Linked DNA regions of Arabidopsis thaliana. The protein of the gene in region 2 interacts with the protein of the main gene of each other region in a pairwise test. Each region holds a gene or a part of one and is shown on either strand. Other genes may lie near its edges. The genes, in order: WRKY49, HDG2, AGL17 and WRKY28.

What was found.
Region 1: the proteins of HDG2 (region 2) and WRKY49 interact in a two-hybrid assay, tested with the Arabidopsis thaliana proteins (one large-scale study listed by BioGRID).
Region 3: the proteins of HDG2 (region 2) and AGL17 interact in a two-hybrid assay, tested with the Arabidopsis thaliana proteins (one large-scale study listed by BioGRID).
Region 4: the proteins of HDG2 (region 2) and WRKY28 interact in a two-hybrid assay, tested with the Arabidopsis thaliana proteins (one large-scale study listed by BioGRID).

The regions. Positions count from the first base shown.
Region 1 is NC_003076.8:17,370,479-17,376,403, reverse strand, and holds WRKY49 (WRKY DNA-binding protein 49), read left to right. Parts: upstream 1-3,182; 5' UTR 3,183-3,320; coding exon 3,321-3,577; intron 3,578-3,688; coding exon 3,689-3,832; intron 3,833-3,993; coding exon 3,994-4,417; 3' UTR 4,418-4,596; downstream 4,597-5,925. Other genes in the region: LURE1.1 (Putative membrane lipoprotein), read left to right, coding at 5,547-5,595, 5,694-5,925. UniProt on the Arabidopsis thaliana protein: Transcription factor. Interacts specifically with the W box (5'-(T)TGAC[CT]-3'), a frequently occurring elicitor-responsive cis-acting element.
Region 2 is NC_003070.9:1,511,590-1,521,742, forward strand, and holds HDG2 (homeodomain GLABROUS 2), read right to left. Parts: upstream 7,312-10,153; 5' UTR 6,981-7,311; intron 6,638-6,980; 5' UTR 6,592-6,637; exon of another isoform or gene 5,469-6,591; 5' UTR 5,436-5,468; coding exon 5,194-5,435; intron 5,116-5,193; coding exon 4,998-5,115; intron 4,421-4,997; coding exon 4,232-4,420; intron 3,863-4,231; coding exon 3,449-3,862; intron 3,375-3,448; coding exon 3,273-3,374; intron 3,202-3,272; coding exon 3,001-3,201; intron 2,974-3,000; exon of another isoform or gene 2,936-2,973; coding exon 2,761-2,935; exon of another isoform or gene 2,677-2,760; coding exon 2,405-2,676; exon of another isoform or gene 2,332-2,404; coding exon 2,236-2,331; coding exon of another isoform or gene 2,215-2,235; exon of another isoform or gene 2,156-2,214; coding exon 1,799-2,155; 3' UTR 1,785-1,798; exon of another isoform or gene 1,711-1,784; intron 1,705-1,710; 3' UTR 1,312-1,704; downstream 1-1,311. Other genes in the region: AT1G05220 (Transmembrane protein 97, Putative), read left to right, coding at 354-674, 906-1,067; AT1G05240 (Peroxidase superfamily protein), read left to right, coding at 9,613-9,825, 9,915-10,100. UniProt on the Arabidopsis thaliana protein: Probable transcription factor. Involved, together with PDF2, in the regulation of flower organs development by promoting the expression of APETALA 3 (AP3) in the epidermis and internal cell layers of developing flowers.
Region 3 is NC_003071.7:9,614,815-9,623,465, forward strand, and holds AGL17 (AGAMOUS-like 17), read left to right. Parts: upstream 1-3,392; 5' UTR 3,393-3,557; coding exon 3,558-3,739; intron 3,740-4,878; coding exon 4,879-4,957; intron 4,958-5,087; coding exon 5,088-5,149; intron 5,150-5,935; coding exon 5,936-6,035; intron 6,036-6,138; coding exon 6,139-6,180; intron 6,181-6,451; coding exon 6,452-6,535; intron 6,536-6,692; coding exon 6,693-6,827; 3' UTR 6,828-6,854; exon of another isoform or gene 6,855-6,953; 3' UTR 6,954-7,349; downstream 7,350-8,651. Other genes in the region: BRK1 (BRICK1), read left to right, coding at 8,469-8,601. UniProt on the Arabidopsis thaliana protein: Probable transcription factor.
Region 4 is NC_003075.7:10,058,164-10,064,397, forward strand, and holds WRKY28 (WRKY DNA-binding protein 28), read left to right. Parts: upstream 1-3,050; 5' UTR 3,051-3,344; coding exon 3,345-3,775; intron 3,776-3,888; coding exon 3,889-4,032; intron 4,033-4,146; coding exon 4,147-4,528; 3' UTR 4,529-4,730; downstream 4,731-6,234. UniProt on the Arabidopsis thaliana protein: Transcription factor. Interacts specifically with the W box (5'-(T)TGAC[CT]-3'), a frequently occurring elicitor-responsive cis-acting element.

The DNA.
Region 1 (5,925 bases), on a different chromosome or scaffold from region 2:
CAATGCATACATACATAACGTTTGGACTATTAAAAATGATATACAGTATAAATTTAATACGAAAATATAATTTTAACTTGATTTTTTTTCTCTAACCACATGTTAATTAGAAAACTTCTCCTTAAATAGGTGTCCAATCACGAGGGTAAGTACTAAATAGTTACAAGAAAAAAGATCCAAAAAAAAAGAATTTGGAAACACTTGGCTAAACAGTTGGCTTTTAAAGTCGAGTAATACGAAAGAGTTAGAAATTATAGAAATACGTACGGAGCAAACCAATCTCATCTAACTCTGCATAATCTGTTTCAAACACCTGACGGTCTATCCTTCTTGTAAGGATGTTATTCATACCTCATATTAATGTTTCCATCTCCAAGTGAAGAGGCAAAGAACTCTGTCGGTGACATATTGATCCTAGTAGCATTATTTGTGCATCGCTTTGCTGACAAATCCAACTTAAACGCACAAGTAGAATCATAAAACTTCCATGAACCATCAATTTGACATCTTAATGTCGAGATATTACTTCCTTAGATGATTTCCTGTTCAATTGTTTTGTCTGAACTCAATTAGACCTTCTTCCATGACAATTTTTCACTTCTAATGTGATTATAAATGTCAAGGGGTTTCTATAGATTTCTTGAAAGACTTTTAATTTGGTTCTTAATTTTCAAAATAATCATAAATTTCATGGATGACAATTATAGTTTTCATGTTCGTCAGAACTACTAGGTTCTCTCCAATATAAATAATCGAGATTGGTGAAAATCAAACTTGATGAAAAACTTCATGGAATCATCAACATATATGTTAATTATTTAATTAGTGAAACTTATAAAATTTGAAAATCTTTTCTTCATCAACAATTCATTTTTTTCAAAATTTCATGTGTAATCTAAAGATAGCATGGTCTTTAATCATGTTATTTTATCTGACAACAAGAAATTTAAGAAAATAACATACCTATACGTTAATACAAAAGACATTTTAATTATTATTTTTTGTTTGGTGATTCATTTTTTTAAAAAAATTATTAGAGTTTGGGTATTTACTTTAACAATGGAAATAGTAAAATTATTACTCCATATCCTTAAAAACCCTTCTTGAATGGATCAAAAAATTCTGATACTCTCTACATATATATACCGTTAACATTAACTATAAATGCAAACTGCAAATTTAAAAAAAAAAACAAAAACTAAACGGTTGACTTTGTTAAATGATTTGAGCAGAAACTTCCATTACAACCAATTCCTCAATCAAATCACACAGACAACAACAACACTAAAGCCCACTAAGTCAACCCAAACCTTTTTTTGTCCACCAGCTAGTCACATTATACTTTTGTCTTTACGTAGCAAGTCAAAGCGACATAGCAACAAAAGGAAACTTGATTTTATCAATATCATGGGCCTATTCCCTATATCAATGGCAGAGTTTCGTTCATTTAGCCTGTGTAATATGACCGATAAGATTTTCTGCCAAATCATGTGCCAAAGACTCAAGGGAATATTGCTAAATATCGCTTTTCGATAACATATTACGTATTACATTATAGTAGTTCAGGAAACTTTCTACGTCATGAGATATCATCAATTTTTTTTTAAATGATAATTCTTAACATGTGATTTTCGGAAATACGGGTTTATAGCAGATCCATGTTTCATTATTAGGTAGAAAGAAGACATTTTCCCTAGACCACGAAAAAAAAATGTCAGTTTACCGCAAATGTTTTTACAAAATAACATGGTTCTCATCCGCAAAACAATTTGGTCAAAATTTGGCAAAGAAAGTAAAACGATATTTCAATAAATTTCTGTTATTGGTTATTTACGTATATATTTACAACTGTAAAGTTATTTAGCTAATTTACCCTATAAATTTAAAACCCTTCTTGAATGACTGAGACAACAAGATAGTACGTACGTTAACGTTAACTATGACTGAGACAACAAAATATTAAAACACTAAACGGTTGACTTTGTTAAATGATACCAAAAATAAAATAAAAAAATCTATTTCAAGCGTGGTGGTTAAGATCCAAAACCAATTCCTCAATGACTAAAAGACAACAAAACCTAAACCCACTAAGTCAACCCAAACGGTTTTTTGTCCACCAGCTGGTCACACTATATTTTTGTCTTTATGTTCGAAAGTCAAAGCCACATAGCAACCAAAAATAACTCGATATTATCAATGTTATGGGGCCTAAGATATAAGCTTCAAAGTTATCCACGACGGTTGATTCATGAAATATATGGACATTACTAGAAACCTATCTAAAGACAAAAAAAAAGCAATAATGATAAGATGACCCTAAATTTAATGGTAATGTTATAGGCTGTCGCAAGTTCAGTGCATACGAAATATGCATTATTGCCTTACATTTCTAAGAAAAACTATGTATAACCCACACATGTATAATAGTGCTTTGTGTTAGTATTATCGATGTATATCAGAAAAATTCAGTCCAATTTGGAGAATTTATCTCATTTTGTTGTGATCATGATAGTTAGCCGATCATAATGCATCTTGACGTAAGGTATAAGCATAAACCAACTTATCAAATCCCAGACATTCTCCTCGTGTCTATGGAAAAGAACGACCATAATTTGTTTGATATTCTTATCATGTGGACGATGTGGTCTTGAAGAGTAGAACATACATCATGCTCCTAGTTTTCAATCACGGAATCCTAGCTGTGACTCACTCTCTGAAGTTAGAAAACTTTATTTTGCCGCGTCCAAAATTTCGATGCCAAATCTAATGAGGTAAATTTTTTAATTAGGTATAAATAATAGTTCTGGATATAATAAGTTTTTTTAAAGCAACAAGTTAGAAGCTCAAAAAAAAAAATCATTTATACATATATACATTTCATATCTAAACTATTTGGATTCCTCCAAAACTATCTCTAAACTAGTGTAAATCGATACGTGTGAAAAGATGGTGGACATTCCAAAAAGTAAAAATCAATGATAATAGTGTTTTTATGTTTATTAACGATTATAATAATGTTGTGCAAAACAAAACTTAGAGATAAAAGATAAATTGATATAAATTCAACACATTAATTAATGTAGATAATTTATTAAAAACAATAATATGGCATATAACTCAAGTATAACAAAACTGAATCCACATGACTAATTTTGGTATTATATATAACTCGTGTAGATCCCCTCCTCAAAAAAAGAAAAGTAAATAGAAATTCAACACACGTTACTCTTAAAAGTTAAAAGAATAAAGAATCCCTCTCTCCCTCTCCCCCTCTCCCCCTCACCACCAGCTCGCATAAGTTTTCTTGTCCCCATACTCATATGGAAGAAGAAGGTTATCAGTGGGCAAGAAGGTGTGGAAACAACGCCGTTGAAGATCCTTTTGTTTATGAGCCACCTCTTTTCTTTCTGCCTCAAGACCAACATCATATGCATGGGCTCATGCCAAATGAAGATTTCATTGCCAACAAGTTCGTCACATCAACACTTTACTCCGGTCCACGAATCCAAGATATTGCAAACGCTCTGGCCTTGGTCGAACCCCTGACCCACCCAGTCCGAGAAATCTCTAAATCAACGTAAGTAATTGATATTTATTTTTTTAATTACAAGAATACATCTCTTTGCCTTATGTTTAGTATAGCCCTTTAATAATAAGTACTCATGAGTTCCTTTATATTTATGTATAGAGTTCCTCTTTTGGAAAGAAGTACTTTGAGCAAGGTGGATAGGTACACTTTAAAGGTGAAGAACAATAGTAATGGAATGTGTGATGATGGATACAAATGGAGAAAATATGGCCAAAAATCAATCAAAAATAGCCCTAACCCAAGGTACATATATGCATTCTCCGTTTTAGAATTGTATATGCATATCGAACTTCTTTGGTTCGGCCAAAATGATACGTATTAAAATCAACATATGGAAGTTTTATTTAGTATACTTAGTTTTCGGTCACAAGCCTAATGTTACTATATTTGTGATATATGTCTAGGAGTTATTACAAGTGCACAAACCCAATATGCAATGCAAAGAAGCAAGTGGAGAGATCAATTGATGAGTCTAACACATATATCATTACCTACGAAGGTTTCCACTTCCACTATACTTACCCTTTCTTCCTACCCGATAAGACACGTCAATGGCCCAATAAAAAAACGAAAATACATAAACATAATGCTCAAGATATGAACAAAAAATCTCAAACCCAAGAAGAGAGCAAAGAAGCACAATTAGGTGAGCTCACCAACCAAAATCATCCAGTCAATAAAGCCCAAGAAAACACACCGGCAAATCTCGAAGAGGGATTGTTTTTTCCGGTTGATCAGTGTCGGCCGCAACAAGGGCTTCTAGAAGATGTGGTAGCTCCGGCAATGAAAAATATTCCTACCAGGGACAGTGTTTTGACAGCTTCTTGATAAATAAAAAATTATTTGAAAATATTAAAAAAATATAAAATTAAACTTCTTTATCATAACCGGAGAAAGTTTTATTTTTCTTCTAAACTTTTTACGTTTAAATAAATTTATTTTGCTCATCTACACAATAAATACATCTAAAGAGTTTCAAGAAATATTTAATATGTTTGATATTGCCACTTCCGTTAAGTTGATAGCGATCCCGGAACAAAATTCTACAAATTTTGAAAAATGTTTTTAGTTTTAAACTTATAAAAATATTGAAAAAACTTAATACCAAATCTTATAAATTAATCAGTTTACATCTTAAAATATTTTGTTTATATAACTTTAAAAAATATATGGTCTCTATAGATAACAAGTCGAAGGTGTTTGTTCAAAAAAAGAAAAACAAATAAGGGGATTTATGGAATTTTTGGTTAAGAAATCATTTACGCAATTAAAAAAAAAAAAGATATACATATGTACAAAGAGTTTGGATAGATTCGAGGCATGTATGAAATAAAATGATTTGGTCATCTATAAGATCATAAATATAAATAAGGAATCAAAAAGTAATTTATGTTTTGTTAGAAAAGCAAGATAGGCATCTTGAGTTGGTATATATAATATAAATTATTAATCATTTCTAATCAATTTATATATTATATATATTTATTAGTTCCTTGACTTATATATTTATTTTAAATAAAATGTTTGCCTCAATAGTAATTTTAAATTTTAAAGTTTAAAACCGCTAATTGTATGTACTTATTAGATGTATGTTATCAGTTATACCAATAAATAACACATTTTAATAACTACTATTAATTGAATTTGAATTTTATGAATATGTATAGAATAAATCCATGTGTAGGGTGGGTTGAAAACCTCATGATGTAACAAAACAATTATAGTTTAAAAACAAAAACAAACATACATAGGTTACTTAACTTTCGTTTATAACAAAATAAAACGTTTATTTGAAAATTAACTCTTTGTATAACATATGTATCTATAGAGCCTATAAATATGACTGTATATTGTTTTAATAACTCCAGCACAAAACAAAAGAAAAAAGAATTCAAAACGATTCACAAATTTTTTTTGTAATTTTTTTTTTGTGGTATTGGTTAATTTCTATGAAGAAATGAAGTTGATTTTTATATTTTTAACTCTATTAATTTTTGTTTCTTCATGTAAGTCTAAATTTATTTAATTAGGATAATATATCAGTATTATAATCAACAACAAAAAATTGTTTAAGAATTTGATATATCTTTTCAAAATTTGATAGGTACATCAATACTTATAAAGGAATCTAGTGAAGAAGAGAGAATATATCCTTTCAATCCAGTAGCAAGTCCTTTCGATCCACGTTCACTGAACCAAATACTTAAAATAGGCAAAATTGGTTATTGTTTTGATTGCGCAAGAGCTTGTATGAGAAGAGATAGGTATATTCGCACATGTAGTTTTGAAAGAAAACTTTGTCGTTGCAGTTATAGTCATATTCATCATACTCATGG
Region 2 (10,153 bases):
TTTATTGCTTTCTGATTTATGTGGAATTCTTGTTTGTTGACTCAGCAACAATGAAATGTTTACTTGGTTGATATAAAATTCATTCTTGACACTACTGCCTGTGCTCTTCCAGTTCCGCGCCACTGGACTAGGGTCTTAACTTGGTCCTCTTTGAGTCTTGTTTGAATTGGTTCGGTGTAATTAAACCAGCAATTAGTTATAAAAATTAGAAAGAGAGAAATAGCTCGGGTCTGTTGGTTCGGTTAAGTAAAACCAACAATTAAATAAACCGTGCGTGAATCTCAAGAATTCGTCTCTTCTTCTTCTTCTGTTTCATTTTTGTGGTCAACGACTCGGGAGAGAGGCAAAAAAAGATGGGAGCTTTGGGGAAGCTGATCAACATCTCTCTGTTTTTCTTCTTCGCACTGATGGCTATCAATGTACCGCTTCTCAACGGTCAAATACTATTTCCTGGAATCTACCCGAAGCTCCTCACCGATCTGAAAGACTGGTACAGCTCTGAGTTCAACGATTACCTCTTCATAGAGAAGCCTCTTTTCTTCGTTGGACTCGTCTGGCATGAGATCATATTCCTATTGCCTCTCTCCATTGTCAACATCTACGCCATTCTTACCAGCAAGTCGTGGTTTGGTACCACTTCTTTGTTGTATGGAGCTTCTTTCCTCACTTCCATGGTACATTTTCTTCTTTCTCTTCATTTTCATTTGGCTCAGTCTATGTATATTTGTTTTTGATGTTGTTGATCTGTAAATGTTACAACTTTCTTGATTTGGAAACGAAAATTCTTTTGGAGTTCTATATTTTAGTATATGTGATTGCTCTGCTTCTCTGAGAAGGCTAGATTGTACCGCTTTGTTTGTAAGTTTCTTTCACGTTTTGTTTTTGTGTGTTTTGTGAATCTCTAGGCTGCTATACTTGGAGACATGATAGGTTCAGAGAAGGTGACTAACAAATTGCTATTGGCGTATTTGCCTTTCGTGGGTCTTGCAATTCTGGCAATGCTTCGTGGTCTGGTGACTTGTTCGACCAAAAGATCAACTGTTTTAGCCAGGAGAAAGCTTGCTTGAGGATAAACCAGGGTAATTTCTCATTTGAAAACTTTACTTTATCACATGGTATGAATGTTCAATGTGAAAACATTATCCCTTCTAGAAATTTTGTTCAAGTATTAACTCAGCAACAATTCCTTGGTTGAACTTAACCTAAACAGAACCAAAAGGTAAATTTACTTGGCAATGGCCCTTTTGAGAGACACTCATTGTCTGGTAAAAAAAAGTGTGAGCTTTCCCCTAGACAAACTCACATAAGCTTACAAAAGTACCAAAATACTTGTATAAGATATTTATACAAAAGAAAGACAAACTCCAAATTCCTGATGATGGTCCATCTAACCACAAGAAGGAAAGAAAAACAGTAACTGTAACACAAAAAGAAATCCGAAAGCATTCTTTCTAACCTAGTTTTTGTTTTTGTCTAATTCAGTATGTGACAGGGGAAGTCAAATTCCCGAACCTCGTAAAACCATCTACATATTCACTTTCAAGTAAAAAGTTTTTCACTGCTTAGTTTCATCAAATAAGCAGACCAAAACTTAACACTAACAAACACTCAATGGTATTCTCTTGTGAGGTTCGATCTTGACTCCTCCGCTTTTCTCAAACTGAAATCTCTCTCTTTTTTCCATCATCACCATTTTGTTATTTCCTGCAGAAAGAAGAAGAAAAATATGATTACATCATATAATGGCGTAAAAGCGAGAAGAATATATTTAGTGAAAGTAGTACCTAATGGATGGTTTTCAAGCAGTCTCACAAGACATTGAAGCTTTGATTCTCTCAACAGTGCAAGCTATTAGATTGTTGACAGTTGCAACAGAGCCAAGAGACAGCTTAGCCGTAGGAACTGAGTCAACCAGAATCTGAAAAGCAACAGTCAAGAGCGACCCTCCATCTCCTCCAGGGGCTCCACTATTGGCATTACCATCAGGAAGAATAGCAAAACCTGATGGAAGCAGAGCCACATAGTCTGGATCACCTCCATTAAGCACTATGTTCATAGCTACAATATCGACTGGAGCATAGATCACAAAGGAAGCTGTAGGATCAGTGCAGCTCTCTTGTAGGATCAGCATATTGCTCTGGCTAGAGTTTGCACTCTGTGACATAAAGAAAGATTGAAAACTCTTAGCTAGGATCAGATGATTATAACAATAGTTCAAAACCCGGTGTAACTCACATTTACCCGAAGAAGAGAAACACAGTTTCCGGTATCCCTCCCGTTAGCAATATGTGCCATTTCTTGCACAACTCCTCCATTAGACAGAATATCCCACTGCAAAATCTCACAAAAACATCAAAACTCTGTCCAAAACAGAACAAGAGAGCGTAGTAACTAAAATAGTTACCTCATTTCTTGAATTCTCGTCTCTGAGGAAGTCAAAGACTCGCTTTGGAGGAACAGGGATCCAAAAAGAAGTGGCTGCACTAAGAACAATACCAGGAGGCCTTCCTGGATCATCCACACTCTTCCTAGTCATCACTCTAACATCTTCAGCTCCTGTACCGGACAATGTAGTCCACGTGTGAGCGGTTGAAGCACTCACTCCTGCACAAAAGCTTATAACCATCCGCTCTGCCAATTTCAGCATACTCCTCCTCCCTTCTTGGTTGGTTATCACTGCATATTCATTAATATAGAACTGTGATTCTGACTCTGACTCTGATTATGAAAACTGTTTATGAAACAAACAGTAGGTTATACCGCCAACTTCTCCAGAGGAAATGTTTGTAGCCATGACACTAGCTAACCGCTCGCATTGGCGGTCAAGAATGGCTACCCAGCGTTTAGCACCAAAGGCATGACCAGTACTAACCATGTGTTTGTATAAGTTATGAACTCCTCTGTCATCAACTTCCACATGCTCCACCCAAGTCACCTGTTACATTAATTCTCTCTACTTAAGTAAACATTTTGTATAACCTAATGTTTTTATTATATTACCTTAGAATATCCATTTGGCAATTCTTGAATCAAACATCCTGAAGCTCGCCGCCTGCATCTAGCCGGGGGATTTGGTTGGAGACTATCCAACGAAATATCGACAACCGCCCACGAACCATCTCCTTGTTGTTTACAGTAACGTGCGAAATAGGTTTCACGTGTTGGGACTAATGGAGATGGAACTTGAAACTCTGCACTCATCTGCAAGCAAAACAGAGTGGTTATTTCAGTTTGAAATTTAATTTTTACAGAATAAAAGCAAAAAAAATTACCACTTGAAGAGCTCCATTATAGTTTCCTGCAACTCCTGTCGATAAAACCGCTAATGTCATTGCTCTAGAAACCATCCCCGCGAAAATCGTCGACCATTGATTCTGCAACATCATATCAATGTTGTTGAAACTAAACAGAGAAGATTGCTTTTAAGTAAAATGAAAATGTTAATTACCACATCCATGAGAATCTCAACGATGTTAACATGATTCATGATCACAACCGCGCTTTCTCGCGAAGCTTCTGATCTATATCCAGCCGGTCTAGGTCCGATCCCTCTAGGAAAGGTCCTTGCATATTCTTCTTCGTCTAAAACCAAACTCTTCCACAGAGGCTCGTCTACTTGAACCATCCTCATGAGCTCTTCCATTGCAGCCACGGATAAGTCGATGATGACAGGTTTGTCAGATTCTGTTGGTGCAGTGATGGACTTAAGGAGATCGTTTGGATTGTTTCCATAAGCTTCTCCTCCAATATTTCCCATGGCGAGTTCTAGTGGACGTGGAGGAAGAGGAGGAGGAGACATAAGTGGATAGTTTGAGACTGGCTTGCCTACGTATTTAGCTGCGATTGCGGATATACGGTCGATCTAAAACAGACAAATAAGAAAGATTATTGATCCTTGTGGTTTTCAAAGTTTGGTCACAAGAAGAAACGTTGAGTAATGTTGTTATTATGTACTACTACTCCTTACAGTTCCAAAAATATCGTTTTAGTATCTCAATTTAATATCATAATTTTTTCTATTCTTCAATGAAAAAAAAATGTTTAAATTCTCTAATTTCAATACAAATCTATAAAAGTTTTTATTTTATGAAGAAAGAAATGATTATTGTGAAAGCGATATAACATTAGTGGTATAAAAACAAATTCTAATTTTTTATTTTATCTTCTTGACAACATTTAAGTGTAAAACTCTTAACATTATTTGAACATTTAAAATAGTTGATTCTCATACCTCTTCCCTTAATCGAGCATTTTCGAGACGGAGTTGGTGTTCGTCGAATGACATTTCTCCGATAGCTGTTGGACCACCACAATTAGGACACGAAGCATTTGCAAGAGCCTCTCGATATCTTAGGTTGTCGTTTCGAAGCTTTTCGTTCTCCGCCCGAAGATGTGAGTTCTCATGCCGCTCGTGATGATTCTGCGCAAATAAAACTTATATTCCGGTTATCTCTAAAGTTTTATACAAGTGATTTATTTCTAATTTGGGTAAAACGAAGGAACAAAGGATTTTACTTAAAAAGAGGAAAAGTGTATGTTTCAAATAAAACACTCGTGTACACGTTATGTGTTTCACCGTATTTGCATAACGTAAGCATATGTGTCCAAAACGTTTCAATCTATAGATTATATATGGCTCTAACTAAGATAATAAATAGGCAATGTTGTTACAACCAAACAATTTTCTATAGCTTGATCCGCCAAATATATAGTTCTGCCAAAGGAACAACTTTTCAATTGAAAAAAAAAATAAGTAAGAAATTTTAAGTCAAAGTGTCTCAACTAGATCTAAAATCTGCCAAAAGTCAATGAATTCATTCTGAAAGAAAACACCAGCCACCCAAAATGTTCTTAAGTATAAAGATAAGCCCTTCAATGTATATATACAAGACTTAATATGAATGAAATAACAATTTAATTAACAAGTATATATATTTTCTCTAATATATATAGATCCATTAACTAATGTATATATGTTCATAATATAAAAAGTATACCTTCATTTGGGTACGTTTGTTTTGGAACCAGAATTTGACCTGAAGAGGTTCCAAATTCAATTCACGGCTTAGCTGTTTCCTTTGCTTGTCATCTGGGTGAGGACACTCTTTGAAGAACCTATTTAACAACCAAAACAAAAGAATTGTCAAAAAACACACAAGAAAATTGAAGTAAGTGAGTAAGTTAAACACATACGCTTCCATCTCCTGGATCTGAAGTTGGGTGTGTCGATGATATCGTTTCTTCTTGTTAGGATGAAGAGGATCTTGGTCGTTTCCTGATCCTCCTTCTTGATTCTCACTTCCCGATTTAGTATTCGGACTGTCGAATTCATCGTCCCGAAGAAATCCTTCATTATTGTTGTCTTCATGGTTGTAGTTGTGGTTATTGCTGTCTGCGTTGTTCATAGCCGCAAGCAGCATATTTGGCTCGAACATCTTTTCTTATACTCCGGAAACTGAAAGCAAACCCTAGAAGCAAAAAAAAGTAGAGAGTTTTGTCAAAATTTAGGGTTTGAAGAAGAAGGGAAATTTCTTCGAGGCTGGAAAAATATGGCAATACTTTTGTCCACGTCAACAACTTTACAACCTTCTTTTTGTATGAACAACAATAACTTAAATCTTTCTTCGGAGTCGTTTATCTTTCTTCTTGAAGATCATACAAAATGATATAAGCAAACAGAAGAATTGGAGATGATTGTAGGAAACAAAGGACCCACTAATTGAAAGCAAGAAAAAAGAGCCTTGCATAAAAAAGACATCACAATCACAAATTAATTTGTTATTGAATAACCAACCCAAAAATAATGAATTTTCACATACTCAAAATTATTCGAAACTACCGATTTTTTACCCTTTTAAAAGAAAAGAAAAAAACTAATCAGCAGACTGAAATAAAAACTATGATTGATTCAAGAGTCATATCATATGTAGTGTAGATGGAAATCAATTGTTGTCCAAAGAAAAAACTTTAAAATTTCTACACTATAATAGCTTTGATGGATGGTGATTTAATTTAAAATTTCGAGGTATTTTGATCAGTTTTGATTTAGATGGGATAGGAAAGAGAAGACGAAAAGAGAAATGTTGGACTCATTTGTTCAAAGCAAATAAAATGGGAAAAAGTAGGTACAAATAAATTCCCAACTCTATCCTGTTTATTAAAAAAACAATATTTTCGTGAGAACAAAACAAAATTTAATTAAATATAATCATTAGTAGATTTTCAAAAAATAAAAACTCTTCAGGAAAAAGTGTAAACTACTATTTGGCGATTAAGAAAGAAAAAAAAATTGAAATGAAAAAAATAGTATTATATCTGTGCACCTGTGCGACGGACCAACATATAGTTATTATACAACTTACAACCAACGTGACATAAGGCCTGGGTGATGTATTAATTTTTTCCAGCTATTTCTTATCATCATCATCGTATTTAAACGTTTTTATTACACACATTAATATGTAAATGTATACTACTACTATAAAGTATATACACGTGTTTATATATAAAACCAAACGTATAATGAAAATAAGGATATACGAAGAGAATACAAACCTTTCTGTTTTTTTTGGTAGGCAAGGGAATACTAACCTTTAATCTTTCCTCTTTATTGTTTTCTTGAAGGTTTCATCTCTGACTATGCAGAAATTGATAAGATTATTTAAAGAAGAATACAATAAATCAGAAAGTCAGAAAGCAAATTAGGAGAGGAATGAAAGATATTAGAGGCAAGAAATCAATTAATTAATGCTAAAGAAGGCAAAATTTAAGACAAAATATAGATGACTAACTGAAAATTCAACATACAGGATATATTAAATTATAAAAAAAAAACATCATGAAAGTGAGAGTTTTATAAAGATGCTAAGAAAACTGAAGTGTAATGGATCCAATGATACTTTAAACAAATAAATTTGTGTACATGAATTAATGGATAAAATAAAGAAAACAGCAGAAATGATGAGGTTTTCGAGACATACACTGGGATATAGGAAGAAGCGACGAAACCCTAGAGGGAGAGAGAGAGAAGAGTAGAGCGGTGTCTGGTCTGAGATTTGTTTCTCGGAAAACCGCTGATGGTTTTGTGAAGCGCGGTTTTGTTGGCGAGCAAAAGGTTTGAAAGGTAGGTGCAAATCTTGGAGGAAGAGAGATGAGAGAGTAATGACAGAGAGAATTGAGAGGGTGCAATGAAATTAAATGGTGCGAGAGGGACACTTAATTATCCTACACGCTTATATATATATAGAGAGAGAGAGATATGTTACAATTTATTTTATTTATGTTACAAAATTATGTGTTGTTTTTCATCTTATATACAATGTCAACCTAAAATAATTTTATTTTTTATTTATTTAAAATATTATAATGTGGTGAGGAATGACGGCTAACGGTCTATGAGCCTATGAGACTTACATTTATCTATTAGATATGTAGTTATTTTTAAAAAATCATTAGCATTATTCATAACTTATGCATATGCAATAAATCACCACTTAACAAAATTAACTATATTAAAAAAAGATTTAACTATATTGAAATTTGCTTTAATACAGTTCTCCATTTACAGAAAAAGTTAGACAATAGTCCCCATTTGTCAAGGATACAATTTTAAAAGTAATTTTCTGAAATTTTAATACTCTTAGATTATTTATAATATGGAAAAAAATTATATAGTTTTTTAACTAAAATTCAATGACTTGTTATAGTTAATATTTATCTTTATGAGATATAAATTTAATTTTTACTTTCAAAAAATATGACTATTATATTTTTAACTATTTTATTTTATTATTATTTCATATCTTTGTTATAAATTTAATTGTAAAGAAGGAAAATTTCATGATTCTTCTTCCACATGGCATTTTCTTAAATATTATAGAAGTTTAGGTTGTATTATTGTTAGTCAGACAGAAGTTGATTGAGTGATGTATTTATTTTATTTCATTTAAAAGAAGAAAATCTAAAAATCATCACCTTAATTTTGAGTTTTGTTTACGAAACAATTGTTTTTTCAATTTAAGGAAGTCAATGAAATATCACTTTTTTCACAGTAAGACTTCATTTTACATGCCTAGAAATATTAATTACTTTGTGGCCCAAGCATTTATAACTATAACGTGCAATTAAGCTATTTAAAATACGGATCACCCATTAAAAAGGTGATAATTTGTAAAAGCCATGCATTCATCTTAATTTATCACGCGAATATATAGAGAAATATACTGCGTATTTAATTACCTAGTTCTTAAGCTTTGTTTTTTTTTTTAAAGTCCTTATAGCTATAGCTTTAACACTCAAGTTTTTCTTTTCAGTAAGTTTATACTTTACCTAGATTCTTTAAAATAACTATATATAAAAAAACAATAACCCAACTTATTTCTGATTTTTACTGTATATATGTAGGTACAGATATATAGATGGAGTTATACGTACGTACGTATGCGATAGGGTGGCGAATAGTTTCGACGCATTAAATGTGTACACAGAGGCTGCATGGGCTTTAGGCCATTTACTGCTCTCATGCCTCTCTTGCACTTTAACCTCCTCTTCCTTCTTCGTACTCTCCTACTAAAAAAAACTAGTAATTCAACGCCTAACATTTTAGTTTTTTCTTTTTTTTTTTTTTTTTTTTTTAGTTTTTTCTTTTTTCCTGCTACATCACTAAAAGTTAATTATTTCAAAAAAGAATTGCTACAATACTATTCACATTTTAAGTTTGTTTCATCCTCGTAAGTCTCAAATATTTATTTTTAGTTTATTTCTTTTTTTTGTCAAACTTTTAGTTTATTTCAATTAGTGTTTTTTCTGCCAATATGATCAAATCTGAGATTCAAAATGGAATTCTTCTGTTGAAAAAATGGATGCTTTTGTAATAAATTCAAGATCGTAGTTTTTTTTTGTTTCTGGGCTTCGTATATGGGCCATAAGACGGAAGTAAACTTTTGGCCCATTATATATTTTATCCCCAACGAGAATGGCAAGGCCGAAAGTCTCATTCTCCGAGAGTGGAAAGTTAGTTAAGGAAAATGATTGATTTTTTTGTTTTGTTTTGCATTAGTCTATAGGACGACTTGTTTCACAAGAAACTAGCCGTATATTGTAATATCCAATCACTGAATTGAGCAACTTGGATAGTTTACATTGAGAATGCAGGAACGTGGATTCCACAAACTATAACAGTTTATTATAGTTTTTAACTTTTGAGAGCTAAGGACTAATAAAAAAATTCCCCAAACTACATCTTCTCCAAAGTCAATAGCTTTTCAAAGCGCAAAAGATGATTTGAAGCTTTCTTAATCGTTGCATGATTTCGATTTCTTCTAATTGTGGAAATTTAATATATTTAATTGCAGCACCAGCAGAGATCAAGAAGATAGTGGAGGCCATGCAATGTCCTCCTCGAGCTCCTCTTGTATTTCAACCCTCATTAAGAAACAGAGGAAAAATGCAAATGGGATTATCTAAATCTTGTTTGGCATTTCTCCATGGACTATTTCAAAGCCGCTGGGTGATCTATAAAAGGCCTGAGAATGTCTCCTTCATCTTCATCTCCAAAGCTCGTTCTCACCTTACTTGGCAAACACTCAACGAAGAAAGGAGAGAGAGACGGTAATGGCGATCAAGAACATTCTCGCCCTTGTGGTTCTTCTTAGCGTGGTTGGAGTTTCTGTCGCCATTCCACAGTTGCTTGACCTCGACTACTACCGGTCTAAGTGTCCCAAGGCAGAGGAAATTGTTCGTGGTGTCACAGTACAATATGTTTCTCGCCAGAAAACCCTTGCCGCTAAACTTCTAAGGATGCATTTCCATGATTGTTTCGTCAGAGTAAGCTTGGTTCACTTGTTCGAGACTGTTAACCAAGGGATATGAAAAAACTAGCTAGTCCTAACACTCTTTTGTAATGATTCATGTAGGGATGTGATGGTTCCGTTCTTCTGAAATCTGCAAAGAATGATGCGGAAAGAGACGCTGTCCCCAACCTGACCCTGAAAGGTTATGAAGTGGTGGATGCGGCCAAGACAGCGCTGGAGAGGAAGTGTCCTAATCTCATTTCTTGCGCTGATGTTCTTGCCTTGGTCGCCAGAGATGCCGTGGCAGTGGTAACATTCCATTTTCGCAATGGACTAGTGATTTTGTCATTCCAAAACTGAAG
Region 3 (8,651 bases), on a different chromosome or scaffold from region 2:
ATTTATTAACGATATATAATTATAAAAGTGAAGAAGAAAAAGGACAAAGATTAGTCATGTAGATATCATTATTGAGGATTCACAAGACTTGCTTATGTCCCTTTTGCCCTTTACACATTTGTTTCTGTCTACTCTTGTAGATTCTCCACATAAATGATAACATGTGTTCTCTTGTTTCTGACATATTCTCTATTTCATTTAACATTTTTTGTTGTTGTTTCTCTGTTAATTAAGCTAATTAATAATTTGAGCGTCGGTTTCAAAAAACAACTTTTTTCTACGCATGTAAATATTGTAAACATGAATAATCAGGTTTTACAAACTTGCTAAACCTATACAAATGAAAACTTGAAAATTTGATGGAGTATGTATAGATATAATCTTCATTTTTGGTATTAAATTCAGGTTAATACTATATGCAATAAAACAAAACTACAAAAATGAAAAGTGAGTGGATCCGCAATAAAAAAAAACTAATTATTTACATACAAAAGTTATTTTGTCTCTTTGATCTCCAAAGAATCAAATTTAATCTGAAAAAAGATTTTTCTATAATCTGAAAAAGATCTAGACTTTTTCTTCTTCTAAACAGATATAAAGTATCTGGTAATGCCTAATCACAACAGTATGTTTCATAGTAGGCCTTTGGCCGGCCCGTGAGTCCAAGAAGAGGGTGTCTCCATTTGGACGATTTCTTTGTTGCGGTCCATAATTCATAAGCCGTATATTAGCATAGTTCATACTTACCCATAATTGGAATGGTATAAGTGCGGACTATTTTAGTTCCAAAAACATTTAGAAAATGTTGTGTACGAATAACTTTATTGGTTAACGCAATTCTGTATCCATATATAAGAGTTAATGTATAAAATATGGCAAATCGAAATTGTTAATGAATTCAAATATTGAACTCATGGCCAACAACCTTGGAACATTTAGTACAATTACAACCAGTGTTCAAGTTCCAAGGACTCAAATTTCAACCTTCAATTAAGTAAACTATGTAAGAACTCAGAAAATAAATGTAATTTTATGGAGTATTTGGAATTAAAAGCATCAAATGGATAATGATAAAAATGAGTTCTCTTTATGGTATGAAGTTCACGTGAAAGAGTACTAATCTCGAATGTATCTTAGTTCAGTAAACTGGTGAATCCGACAATAGTTTTGTAGCATAATATAATGACGAACGTAACATTTGTATGATAATGTTGCAAAAAATAGTTTTTCTCTTCTTCTTCTTTTTTTCAAATACCATTCAAACCTGCGAAATATAGACTTGGCCAAAAATATTATAGTACTACTTTTGTTTTCGTTGTATCGTTTTCATTGAATTTTCTTTTTCAACTCGTTTAATTACTGAATATTACTGTAATTACCGATCAAATTCATATATATTTCCAAAAAGATTAAATTAATTTTTTATTTTTATGAGAAAACCAAAACCTTTTTTAGAAGGATCAAAATGGGACATTGACGGCTGATGGTTGACATCTGGCAGGTAGATTTGTTTTTGTTTTTCTTTTTCTTTTTAGTTTCATTTTAAGGATAAACATTATCTTGTGTTGGAGACTCGAGATCTGATTGGTCGAAAGAAACCCACGTGGTCACCATGTTGTCATTTTAGGTCCCACCTAAACTCTTCGATAGCTTTAAGCCTTTAACAGTAGTGAATCTAGTGATACTAAACTTTACTAATTAGGATTTAGGAAGAACCTGAAGCGAATTCACTTAAAGCACTAGATTCAAAACTATGAAGCATAGAATAGTAATTTAATATCTGTAAGTGATAAACTTTCACATGCACTATAATAATAATAAATGATCATATTTTGGTAAAACTATGATCGAGATCCCTCAGAACTTAAATATTATAAATCCTTCTTTTGGAATCAAACTAGTGTTTCTTAGTTTATATGTAAGGCCACATTTTTTATCGAAAAAAAAAGTGAAATATATCTGAAATCTGATATGTACTTTAGAGATTTATACATTTTCACATGTATTGATCGTTTTTATATATTTGGCCAACCTATGATCGAAAGCTCAAAAACTGAATACATAAAAAAAAAAATATACATGAATCAAGAAACTTGATTTCTTGATTCTATCATTTTTTAACCTAATTTTATTTCATCGTACTTTTTTTTTTTTTTGACAATTCCCTTACTCTTAAATCTTAACTCATGTATCCTTAGAAGTTTTGCATTTTTTGGTCCGAAAAGCTTCTCCACTGGATCAGTTACCATTGGCCAAGTAAGTTTAGTATCCTCACCAACATCGAAAATCGAGATATTATTGATGCGTATTTCTTTTGAAAAGTCTCCTTTCAACAAAATTTAAGTTGTAAGGCTGAACATTATAGGTTGAAATAAAGAAATTGCTCAGGTGTACGAAATTTAAGCCGAGGACAAAGGAGCGTGCGAAAGCATCTCCTAATTGGTATCCTCAGGAACTGTTTCTGCTACTCTCACGTGTATGACTCTCACAAATTTGCATATTCCACCATATAATATACAATATATTATATATATATATATACTTACATAGTTTGATAGTTCAAACCAAATAGTTACAATATAGACGACTTGATATTAGTTGGAATTCGATGGCCATTATCATATTAATTGAAACTTTAAAACCAAACGTAAATCCATTTCTAGTTTGGTTTACTTGGAATCGACGGTACTAAAAAAAATTTGGTCTACAGATGTTGTAAGTCTCATATTGAAAACGGTAAGTCAAATAACCAAGTTATATTTTTATTAAGCATATATTGTCTGCGTAATGAGACTTAATTAGGTCATTTAGTTCATGTATAATACTGTACATAAAGTCAAGTAATTACTAGTACAGGGTAAATTAATTAAGTTCTAATTAACGAGTTTTGCTCATTCTCTTATATGCAAAAGTTCGCCTATATGGAAACTTGCAATAGATCTTAATATATTGGTAGAATGGAAATGTCCTCAACTCCTAATTTATGTGTGACACGTGTTAATAAAATCAATTTTGTATTTTGTTCTATTATAGAAAACTATCATCAGTTTTTAATATTCTCTAAAATCCATCTACCGTTTTCAAAGCTTTTTTCCCGTTATATATTTTACATAATTTTTTTGGGTAAAATGGAGATATCAAATAAAGGAAGTTTATTTGTAGTAGTATACATTTCTTCGGTTTCAGTTTTGATTCAGAAAGTTTATTTTTTCTATGTAAATACTTTATAATACTGTTCCTTCTGTCTCATGTGTTCTATGAACTATGTGTATACTGTATACATATTTTAGGTTATTAACTTGGTACGATTACTAATTAGCCCTCAAGCTGTATCGACCAACACAACGACTCAAATAGATAAAAACGAAATCCTTAATTTATTCCTCGAATACATTGTTGACTCTTACTTCCTTCTTATTTTTTTCTTTTCCTTTTCTCTCTCTCTATTCTCTTTCTCCTGATTCGTTCTTCTTCATCTTTCTTTGGCCTTGCGAAGATCTAGAAAAACCCTAGAACGCACCAAGATCTAAAGGAAGATCAAAATAGGGTTTAAATTAATGGGGAGAGGGAAGATTGTGATCCAGAAGATCGATGATTCCACGAGTAGACAAGTCACTTTCTCCAAAAGAAGAAAGGGTCTCATCAAGAAAGCTAAAGAACTTGCTATTCTCTGCGACGCCGAGGTCTGTCTCATCATTTTCTCCAACACTGACAAGCTCTATGACTTTGCCAGCTCCAGGTTTCTCTCTTCCTTTATTCAATTCTTAGATCTTTTAACATCTACATACCTATAGATCTACATCTATCTATGTATTTGTATATCTATAATAAATGGAACTATATATAGGTATGTACGTACTTATATAATATCATGTGTGGGTTCACTACAAGAATATAGGCTATTTCTCTAAGAGGGTTTGGATTAATTCAATGATTTGTGTTTGGTAGCGTGCATTTAGTCATTTGTAGTAGTATACATTTTTCTGCATCTTGTGGCGATAACGCTCTCTATATTTCTGTGTATATATACAAGGTGATAAATGTATGAGCTAAGGAAACTTAATTTTCAAAGGAAACTTAGTTTGAAAGGAGCTTAGGATGCCAAAGCAAAAGAAAACTAATTAAAGACGATGACTAGTGTAAAGATGAAAACACACACTAATTTGAAGTAGGCTCATGGCAGTGTGTGGACATGTGTGTCATTGGTTGTAAATTGTGTATGTGGCTGACAGTGTGTCTTTGCCAAATTTAGAAACATTTGAGTAGAGAAGATAGTAATTAAAGCTAAAAACAAGTATAACGTTGGAAAACTGAAAGAGTGATAAATGGGAGTGTATAAGATATCACTACAATCAATTGTGCATTTTTAAGGATATATCATACATTTGGAGATGATATATGTAAACTGATAAAAAAATTACCCATCTACTTGTATATAAGCATATAAATCTCAATATTTTGTATATATGAAACTACCCAAGAACGATAAGATGACTATGTATTTTAAACCATAAATGACTGCACAATTTATTATGACAAAATTTTGAAGTATTACATGAGAATTTTTTTTTTTCGTTTCAGATTTTCCAAATGTGAAGTATTCATATTTACTTTTGAAGATCAAATTTATCATGTGTAAAAGAATCTTATATATGTATAAATCATCGTGAATCCATTTCCTGACCTATATATATATATATATCATATTTTTCTTATGTGATAAAAATATAAAGCCTTCTTAATAATTTTAAAGATTGTGAAAAAAAATCAAGGAAGTGATGGATTTTGTTTTTCTTTTCATTAGAAAATAATTTTATTTTGCCACAAGGAAGCAAACATTATGAAATGCTTATAAGTTGAAATTCTTAAAATGAACAGTGTGAAATCTACTATTGAACGATTCAATACGGCTAAGATGGAGGAGCAAGAACTAATGAACCCTGCATCAGAAGTTAAGGTACGTATAACAGAAATCACGCAGCACATAAGAGGGGAAGGCAATTATTAGTTAATATCTTAATCATGTGTTTGTATTACTATGCTTGAGTTTGAGAGTTGATCGAGTTAGATTGTGTTGCGTGTTGTAGTTTTGGCAGAGAGAGGCTGAAACTCTAAGGCAAGAATTGCACTCATTGCAAGAAAATTATCGGTATGTATTTGTTCATAAACTACAAAACTATGAGTAATCATGTGTTTCTAACTCCAAAGTAAGAAGTACTGATCTTAATTGTATCCTTTTTGCTAAGAGTTGATCTTTTCTCACATGATTTCTAACTAAAACTTTTCTCTTTCTAATTATTTTTGTTTAAAACTGTTCAGCCAAAATTTGTGCATTTAACATAATAAGGTAACAAAATGGATGTTATGCGCCTAATATGTTTAAAACAATGTATATATACTTCATCGAGTCGATTAGAGAAAGCGGATTAATCCTAAAAAATTTGCACAATTGAGACTAACTTTAACTTTGCACTACCAGATTTAATAACCCCACACTCTATCATTTTTCTTTAAAAAAATTATTTCAAGAATGATAGATTTGGAACCAATTAGTTCATACCTAGTTTCAATGGTGTAATCTCATGAAGATTCATCCGTTCTCTTTAATCTACTCGATGAGATTAATTTTCTTTGAATTAAATTTTGTTATTTTTTGCTTTCAAGTATTTTCCGTTTAATCTACATTCTAGTACTATACTCCGGACCTCTAGCATTTTATTTCTAAAATTTTCTATGTAAACTTTTTCCTCCGGATTGTACAACCAATCACTTATGTGTTTAAGGGTAAGAAAAATATGTATATGTTGAAAACTCGACCATGATTGTTCTGTCGGACTGGTTCATTTCTGAAATTAGTCGAGCGGATTAAATTGGTTGTAGTTGGCCATGTCCGTTCTACATATATTAACTGCAGTAATGTTTTGTGATAAATCAGGCAACTAACGGGAGTGGAATTAAATGGTTTGAGCGTTAAGGAGTTACAAAACATAGAGAGTCAACTTGAAATGAGTTTACGTGGAATTCGTATGAAAAGGGTAATATATGAATGCTCTAGGCCTCTAGCTGGTTCGCATGATGCTTAAAAATTGATAATAGAGCATTGAAGTTTAAGCTAATTATTCTTTTCGAACCTTGCAGGAACAAATTTTGACCAATGAAATTAAAGAGCTAACCAGAAAGGTAAACTATATGATATAACACATGATTATTAAAAATCAGACTCGGATGTTGTTGTTTGTGTTTACATTGTAAACACACATAATTTGCAGATGTAAAATGCAAACGATATTTTTAGTTTCTTCTTCGGTTTGTGTTTGCATTTGCAATTTACAAAAAAATCTGTTCTTTGAGAAAAGATACTAAAGATGTTGTGTTTAAGTTTGAAACGCATTATTAATCAATGTTATCATTTCTAGTTTTCAGGTTCTTATAAGTGTTTTATCTTTTGCAGAGGAATCTTGTTCATCATGAAAACCTCGAATTGTCGAGAAAAGTACAAAGGATTCATCAAGAAAATGTCGAACTATACAAGAAGGTAAAATAGAAACACAAACTTCATTACTTCAAGTTGCAGCTAACAAATCCTTTAAATCAAATTAATCTCCTAGTTGAAACTAGACAAATCTCAATAATTAATTATTGAGATCGTACGTAGTTACAAAAGTGTGTTGTGGTAATGGTCTTGCATACAGGCTTATGGAACGTCGAACACAAATGGATTGGGACATCATGAGCTAGTAGATGCAGTTTATGAATCCCATGCACAGGTTAGGCTGCAGCTAAGCCAGCCTGAGCAGTCCCATTATAAGACATCTTCAAACAGCTAAGATCATATAAGAGATATATAACAAATTGTTCGTTCTTGATTATCTCAAAACCCTTTCAAATATATATACGTGCATATTATATATGAAGACTCGTTTGACTATGTCAATATATATGTTTTCATGCAGGAGTAAGTGTGAGTGTAATCATGTCGGAGAGCAAACCAAAGGTTTGATTTGTACGATATATACTTATATATGGTCTCAAGTGAAAGCAATGGAACAGCTTCTCGATTATATTCTTTTTAGCTTTCACATTTGGTTTTAAGTACATAATTAAGACATACATGAACTACATATATAATATATATTTTAACTAAAAAAATTGAGTGTGATATAGGTTGGTTTAGTATATAAGCTATACTTTACCTAAAGTAAAATCAGAGCTCACTTTTGTGTGTGTGTGTTTGTTTTTGTTAGTCATTGAGATTTTTAATAAAGGGAGATTCATTTGAGATGATTGCTTCTATAGTTTAGAGAAAATTTGCAAAACAAAAAGAGTATACTATATATTGTCGTTTCAGGTAAAACGATGCAAAAAGTCAGCCTAGAAATTAACGAAGTTACATGACCATGACCAACATATGAAAACTGCATTGTTTAACATATCTCTGAAAAGATTATGTTTTTGGTCGTATTAAAATAACAAAAACGAAGTAAAAAAAATCTCAGATGTGAAATCAAACTAAGAGGAGCTAGGAGAAGAAAAATAAACCCTAATTTCCTTGGGATGTAAATTTTCACCGGTCGTACAATATAGGATTTTATGTGATTCAAAATTTTAGTCCAAAAGTAGAGGGTTATAAGTTTCTCGGTTTGAATAAATTAATTTAGTGATTTTGATTTAGCGCTTAAATTTGATTGTAAACACAGTTCACTCTATTATATACTATTGTCCAATATTTTGCATACTGTAATCCACTTTTAACCTACAAAAATATTGATATAATTAGTCCGGTTTACTGCTAATTGAACAACCATTCAAAATTTGATTTGTTGTATAGACAATGAGTTATGCCTCATCAGAAATAATCACAACTTAAAATTATTCTAGTATGATGAAATATGTGTTCTGTTTTGTAAATATTATAGATACAACCTATAAATAGTTATACAAGTTACAACCAATGAGCATACCGAATAATTCACTTGACTTTAAAACAAACGTATCTTGAATTCAAAGATTAAAGATTGGTTGTAATAGTATATATGCACGAAGAACCAAGAATTGCTCAATTTTTAATTGATAGTGACATTTGAATAGAACGAAAAAGATTGAACACTAACTAAGCAATCTACCAAAATATTAAACCAAACCACATAATATCAAATATCTTAAATTATAAAATAGCCCCTATATTTCCTCTTTATCTCATAAAACACCCGTTTCTTCTTCTAATCTTAACTTCTTCTTCATCAATCACACATCATCTAAAAGAAAAACAACCTACGATAAAATTCAGAAACTTTTTCTCTGAGACACCAAAAAAGGAAGGTGACCCTCCTTCTCTAATCGATTGCTTAATCATTTCTGCCGTTGGATTGAATCGAAAAAGGGCGAATTATTTAAAAAGCTTCAGAATTTGAAATCGAAATCTGTGAGTACTGTTGTGTTTGTGGAAGAGAGAGTTTTGGGGTTTAATAATGGCGAAAGCTGGAGGGATCACGAACGCAGTAAACGTAGGAATCGCTGTTCAAGCAGATTGGGAGAATCGAGAATTTATCTCACATATCTCTCTTAATGTTCGTCGTCTCTTCGAATTCCTTGTTCAATTTGGTAAACCTCACTCTCTCACTTATTTCTCTGTGTTGGGTTTTGAATTCAAT
Region 4 (6,234 bases), on a different chromosome or scaffold from region 2:
TAATGAAAAATTTAGTCTTTTCGGTTATTTGTTTTTAAATGCATTTTCTTATTCTTGATAATCTATACACAAATATCATATATATTAAATTAATCAGCTGTAACAACTCAAATTTCAGAAAGAGGATAACGTGTGTGAAAGAACAGAAAATACAAGAGATTCCTTTTTATTCATATATATTTTATATATACTAACATGAATAATAATGATAAAAATGTCACACATGACAAACCTAACAACAAACCTGCCCCAACTATTCTATTCCAAAGCTAAAGTCAACAATTTCACTCTCTTTCTTTTTATTCTTCTTTACGTTAAATTGAAACTTAAATAATGTAATAATTATGTGTTTACTAGAAAGTAGAAATAAATTTCATAATAATATCTTTATATGTTAGGCACAAATCCCCAAAAATAGGTCAGACATTTCAACTGCAGACAGATACAGTTATGTATACGTGTAATTGTAAGCTAATGTTTTTTTTTCACTTACAGGTTACAAATTACATAGAGGTCCACGGTCTAACTTTGGGTAATTTAAATGTGGGGCTTATGGATAAGACAACGCAAACGATTAGGCACCAATTACGGCGTTTAGTTTCTGCCTAAATTAAAACTATAAATGTGTATTAATATATATCTTAGTATGCATTAATGTGGTTAGGTACGAGAAACAGATTCATATACCACCATTATGGCATTATTATAGTATGCAATAGAAGATTGAATATATATTTGACTTCGAAGATTGAATTTTTTTTGGTTTAGAGATTATTCTATTACTCATATGGAATCTGATAAGAGTTGCTGTTTCTCTTTCCCAAATTAAAGTATGTATACGCCTTGATGTTCTTGGTCAAATGTGAATGGTTAATGTCTCTTTTGGTTCAAAGAGAATTATTCGGTCTTCTTAATTATTTCGACCAAAGATTACTAGATTGGTATTGATTTTCTCGAAAACGTTTTTCATCGTAGTTTGTTTTGACCAAAAAGCGTTAAAAACATGGAAATTATTATGCCCTTCTTTCATTGATCAAATTTTTATATACCAAAGCCATAGTATTTTGATTCATTCCAATATTTTATACTGAGTATCACTGAGACACTGACTATATATATGTATGTATTCTCGCGCTATCCGTAATATGCTAGGTAATATAGCAGTGATTATTAAACGCATTAAGATCATCATACGTAATTCACGATAATTTGTAATCCAAAAACTTAGGTGTGACCAAAAAAAAAAAAAGAGTTGAATCCTTCACCTACCAAAAAAATGGATTGTGACCAAAAGACCATGACATATCAAATTTTTAGTGATTAAACCGATTTCTTCCAAGATGCTAGTATTTGTTTTTATCTTGCCATATTTTAGTGATTTTTCATAGTAGTAAATATATCACTTTGACCACATTTAAAGTTGATGTATGTCCCCTTCGCATTTGTCATGTCGGTTAGGCATTATATGTCTCCTTTTTTCCTGATCATATGCTCCTATCAATTTCTACAAACTCATGAAAACGATTACTAGCTATATAAATCAAGCATAGGGTTCATAACATGCAACTTTAATTCCCCACAATTATCGCAAATAAAATTGTATATAAAGGGTTTATCGTAATTATCATAATGTTAACATTTTCATAATATAGATACTTTTGGTTTGACCATCTTTTCCTTAATATAAGTTAATAAATTAAGATGCTCTTTTACTTGCAAACAGAAAGTTCTAATGTGAAAAAGAAATTGTTATTGCGTAATCATGATCTCACTTATCCGTCAGCATAAGTAACGATCCACTCCACATAGCTACGTCACTTAAAGTCCCATAGTAACTAATTTTCTTTGAATGTTATAGCAAATTATTAGCAATGTATGATTCTTTGGGTCAAATCTTACACTAAAAACATGAAAATAATTTGAATATCAAGAGATTCATATATTCATATTTTATAACCAAAATATGTAGGGTCTAAATTATTGCTTCTTGACTAGGAATTACCTATGAATAATTATTAAGGTTCGTGAAACAGTGAGGGAAAAAGAAGAAGAAGAAGAGAAGACAGTCTCTAGCACGTGCCAGGTCATGTGTCGGCGACGGTCAAATGCCGGTGCAAGTGTTTCCACGTGGCAGCCTAATACTCCCAAAATATAATCTTTTGTTTTCGTAAACTTTTTTCCCTTTGAATCTTTGACTGCCTCTTACTGCATTCTTCACACCAAACGACCGGCCGGTGACTGAGTGTTTCCGGTTTCCGGTAACACATAGTCTTCGCTGACTAAGACTCCTTCAATAACGTCGTCTTCTTCCACGCGCCGTTTAGTCGTAGCGCGTGTTATCAAGCCCGTCCACTATATATGCCACGTATAGAGTGGGGAAGAAAATGAAGGTGAGAACTTTTCATGTCCTACTTTTTGGCCCCATAAAAAAGGCAGCACACAAAAATAACCCAAAATTTATGCATGTTTATCAAATGTGGAAAAATAAAAGTAGAATTTTAGGAAATTTATACGAAGATACAATGCAAAGACTCGAAGAAATGTATTTAGTGGTATAGAAATACTTGCAAGTAAGCATATTCTGAATTAAAAATATAGAAGCTTAAGTATGTTTCCTCACTAGAAGCCAGTTTTGCAGCTCTATTTTTGTCAACTTAGCTTTACGTAAAGTTCTTATTGCCCGAAACCAAAAAGTCATTCAAAAGGCATAACATGATATCACAAATAAAATTATCATCTACTTCTATATCTTATTTCTTGAATATATATATATATATATATACCTATCTATTAAGTTGCTTATCGTTCACATTATTAATTTATAATTAACTTTATGTACATTTGACTGATAAACATTAAAAAGACTTATTTGAACCTTTTTGTATATGAATTCAAAATTATACTGATAAAATAACGTGAGGAAGAAATATTATGAAAGCTTTTAACATATAAATTAATTTGCATAGGAAAAAATTACACAACTTAAATTGAGATTAGTTAAGAAACAAGAAAAAACAAAGTTGATAGAAAAATAAAAGTATTAACACGACTTTGGATTCACACACGTACCATTGAATTATATCTCAATACACTTTTACTTAATTAACTTATTTCCAAACCAAGTAGCCAAAATCATATTATTCTTCTCTCTCTTCCTTTTTTGAGTTTCAAAATGCATAAATACGAGAACGAGAGACGAAGACCAAATTAAAGTCCAAGCACCAATCTAGACCTCTTAGGAAAAAAACCTAAAAACCTAATCCCCAAACCTAAAAGGCTTATCTCATCTCTTCTTCTTTGTCTTCTTTACTCTTTTTTTACCTCTCTCTTCATTGTTCTTCACCATGTCTAATGAAACCAGAGATCTCTACAACTACCAATACCCTTCATCGTTTTCGTTGCACGAAATGATGAATCTGCCTACTTCAAATCCATCTTCTTATGGAAACCTCCCATCACAAAACGGTTTTAATCCATCTACTTATTCCTTCACCGATTGTCTCCAAAGTTCTCCAGCAGCGTATGAATCTCTACTTCAGAAAACTTTTGGTCTTTCTCCCTCTTCCTCAGAGGTTTTCAATTCTTCGATCGATCAAGAACCGAACCGTGATGTTACTAATGACGTAATCAATGGTGGTGCATGCAACGAGACTGAAACTAGGGTTTCTCCTTCTAATTCTTCCTCTAGTGAGGCTGATCACCCCGGTGAAGATTCCGGTAAGAGCCGGAGGAAACGAGAGTTAGTCGGTGAAGAAGATCAAATTTCCAAAAAAGTGTAAGTCATAACTCTATAGGAACTTTTATGCAAAACATTGAACATCATTTGATCTCTTCGTTTAGGAATTTAGTCTAGCATGTGTATTAATTTTATAGTGTATTATTTTTCAGTGGGAAAACGAAAAAGACTGAGGTGAAGAAACAAAGAGAGCCACGAGTCTCGTTTATGACTAAAAGTGAAGTTGATCATCTTGAAGATGGTTATAGATGGAGAAAATACGGCCAAAAGGCTGTAAAAAATAGCCCTTATCCAAGGTAACTAAACTTTCCCTTTTTATTTTTTGAAATTGCTAGGCTTGTGAAAATTTGTGTTTAGAAAAATGCGACCATTATAGTGTAACTGATAATAGCCAATGGAAACGAAAATAGGAGTTACTATAGATGTACAACACAAAAGTGCAACGTGAAGAAACGAGTGGAGAGATCGTTCCAAGATCCAACGGTTGTGATTACAACTTACGAGGGTCAACACAACCACCCGATTCCGACTAATCTTCGAGGAAGTTCTGCCGCGGCTGCTATGTTCTCCGCAGACCTCATGACTCCAAGAAGCTTTGCACATGATATGTTTAGGACGGCAGCTTATACTAACGGCGGTTCTGTGGCGGCGGCTTTGGATTATGGATATGGACAAAGTGGTTATGGTAGTGTGAATTCAAACCCTAGTTCTCACCAAGTGTATCATCAAGGGGGTGAGTATGAGCTCTTGAGGGAGATTTTTCCTTCAATTTTCTTTAAGCAAGAGCCTTGATCGATCATTGTTATAACTACATATATTATATATATTGAGAGAGAGAGGTAGAGAAAAAAAAAACTTATATGTAACTTAAGATCTTATTTTGTCTCTCTTATTTGCATGTACATATTTTTTCATGAAAGAATGAGACAGTTGGGCTTGCTTATATATTTGATGATGTTTAATGTGTTACCGTTGGATACATATTTTCGCTTCCATTTTGTGAAATTATATTTTCTTCTTTTGGTTAGTTTTTTACATTATGATATTATGCTGTGTAATTTGTACTATCATATGTAGAAGCGAAAAAGACATAACTCTAGCTAGGAGCCTACGATTGATCTCCCAAATGTTGATTATAATATATACATATGCTTTTGGGAAACTTAAGTATTAAATTGACAAGTTCAAATGGTCAACTTCTTACTGATTTATATCTTAATAATCAAAAATTACAAAAAAAAGTTACAAGCTCATATGTGATGAAGAAATTAGAATCGGAAATTTAATGTAAGGGTGTTGATATAAAAGGTTCAAGTTGTAGACGACGAATATCTATGTGTGTGAACAAGTAAAGAAAAAACAAAACAAGTTGAGATCTAACCTTGTGTCCTAAGAGAATGGACCCGAATAAAAGATTTGACTGCTTCTGCTTTCTATCTTATCCACACACACATGGAAACATAGACTGTGGACCAATAATATTACCCCTACCATCAAAACTGAAAACAATGTTTTAATTCAAAAAACGAAAAATAAAAAGAAAATACTAAACAATAATAAAATTATATATCAAATCTCAGATTTATAAAGAGTGAATGAATTACAAAAAAAATTTGAAGGAACGAGAAGGATGCGAAGAAGAACCTTAGAAAAAGATCTCTTTATATATTAACTTGTAAATGTGTTTGTGCAAATGAAAGTATAGGCAACAAAGTAATAGTGGATTCTCTATATATAAGTATTTTATGAGGAACAAGAGGACCAAATTTCTGAATTAATAAGCAATACTATTATTTGGGAGCGCATTTGTGTCATATACCAAAGTCATTGAATTTAGCTGAAACTTGAAATCATGAGATGAACGAGTCATGAGATCATAGAACATGTGGATTTCTGAAATTTCAACATGCGCGCTCCAATGTAACTTCAGTTTCCTATTTGAAAACTATTCTTAAATTTTGAAATTCAACTGATATGTCCAATCTCGAATCTTTTCATTATCAATTATCATACTCAATTTGTATTAAATCACTTCAAATACAGTAGTTTTTTTTTTTTTAGTTTAAAGACGTTTCTTAAAGGTTTTAAATGTTATGACACATTCACAATTATCATCACTGGTAAAATTTGCATTGGAGTGTTCTTGGAAAACATTCTTTCAATATAGTCATAAAATTACGTTTGACATATAATTCTTACAAACCTAAGGTATATTCGCAAAAATGTTATAGCAACTTTGAGAAAACATATTAAATATATACATAAATCCTTTCTATGTTCTAGATTTTGACTAAATATGTACATGTTTTGACTGAAGAATGATTTGGCCTACACAGATAACTATTAAAATGATCATATACCAAGTCAAATCATATATTGAATCATACGGGAAATCCATTTGACACAAATCTGTATTAGATGGAACATTTATTTTAGTATTTTCATATTATTTTGCTTATAAAAAGAAATCTCGGTGATAATGATTTTGGTTTTGTTTT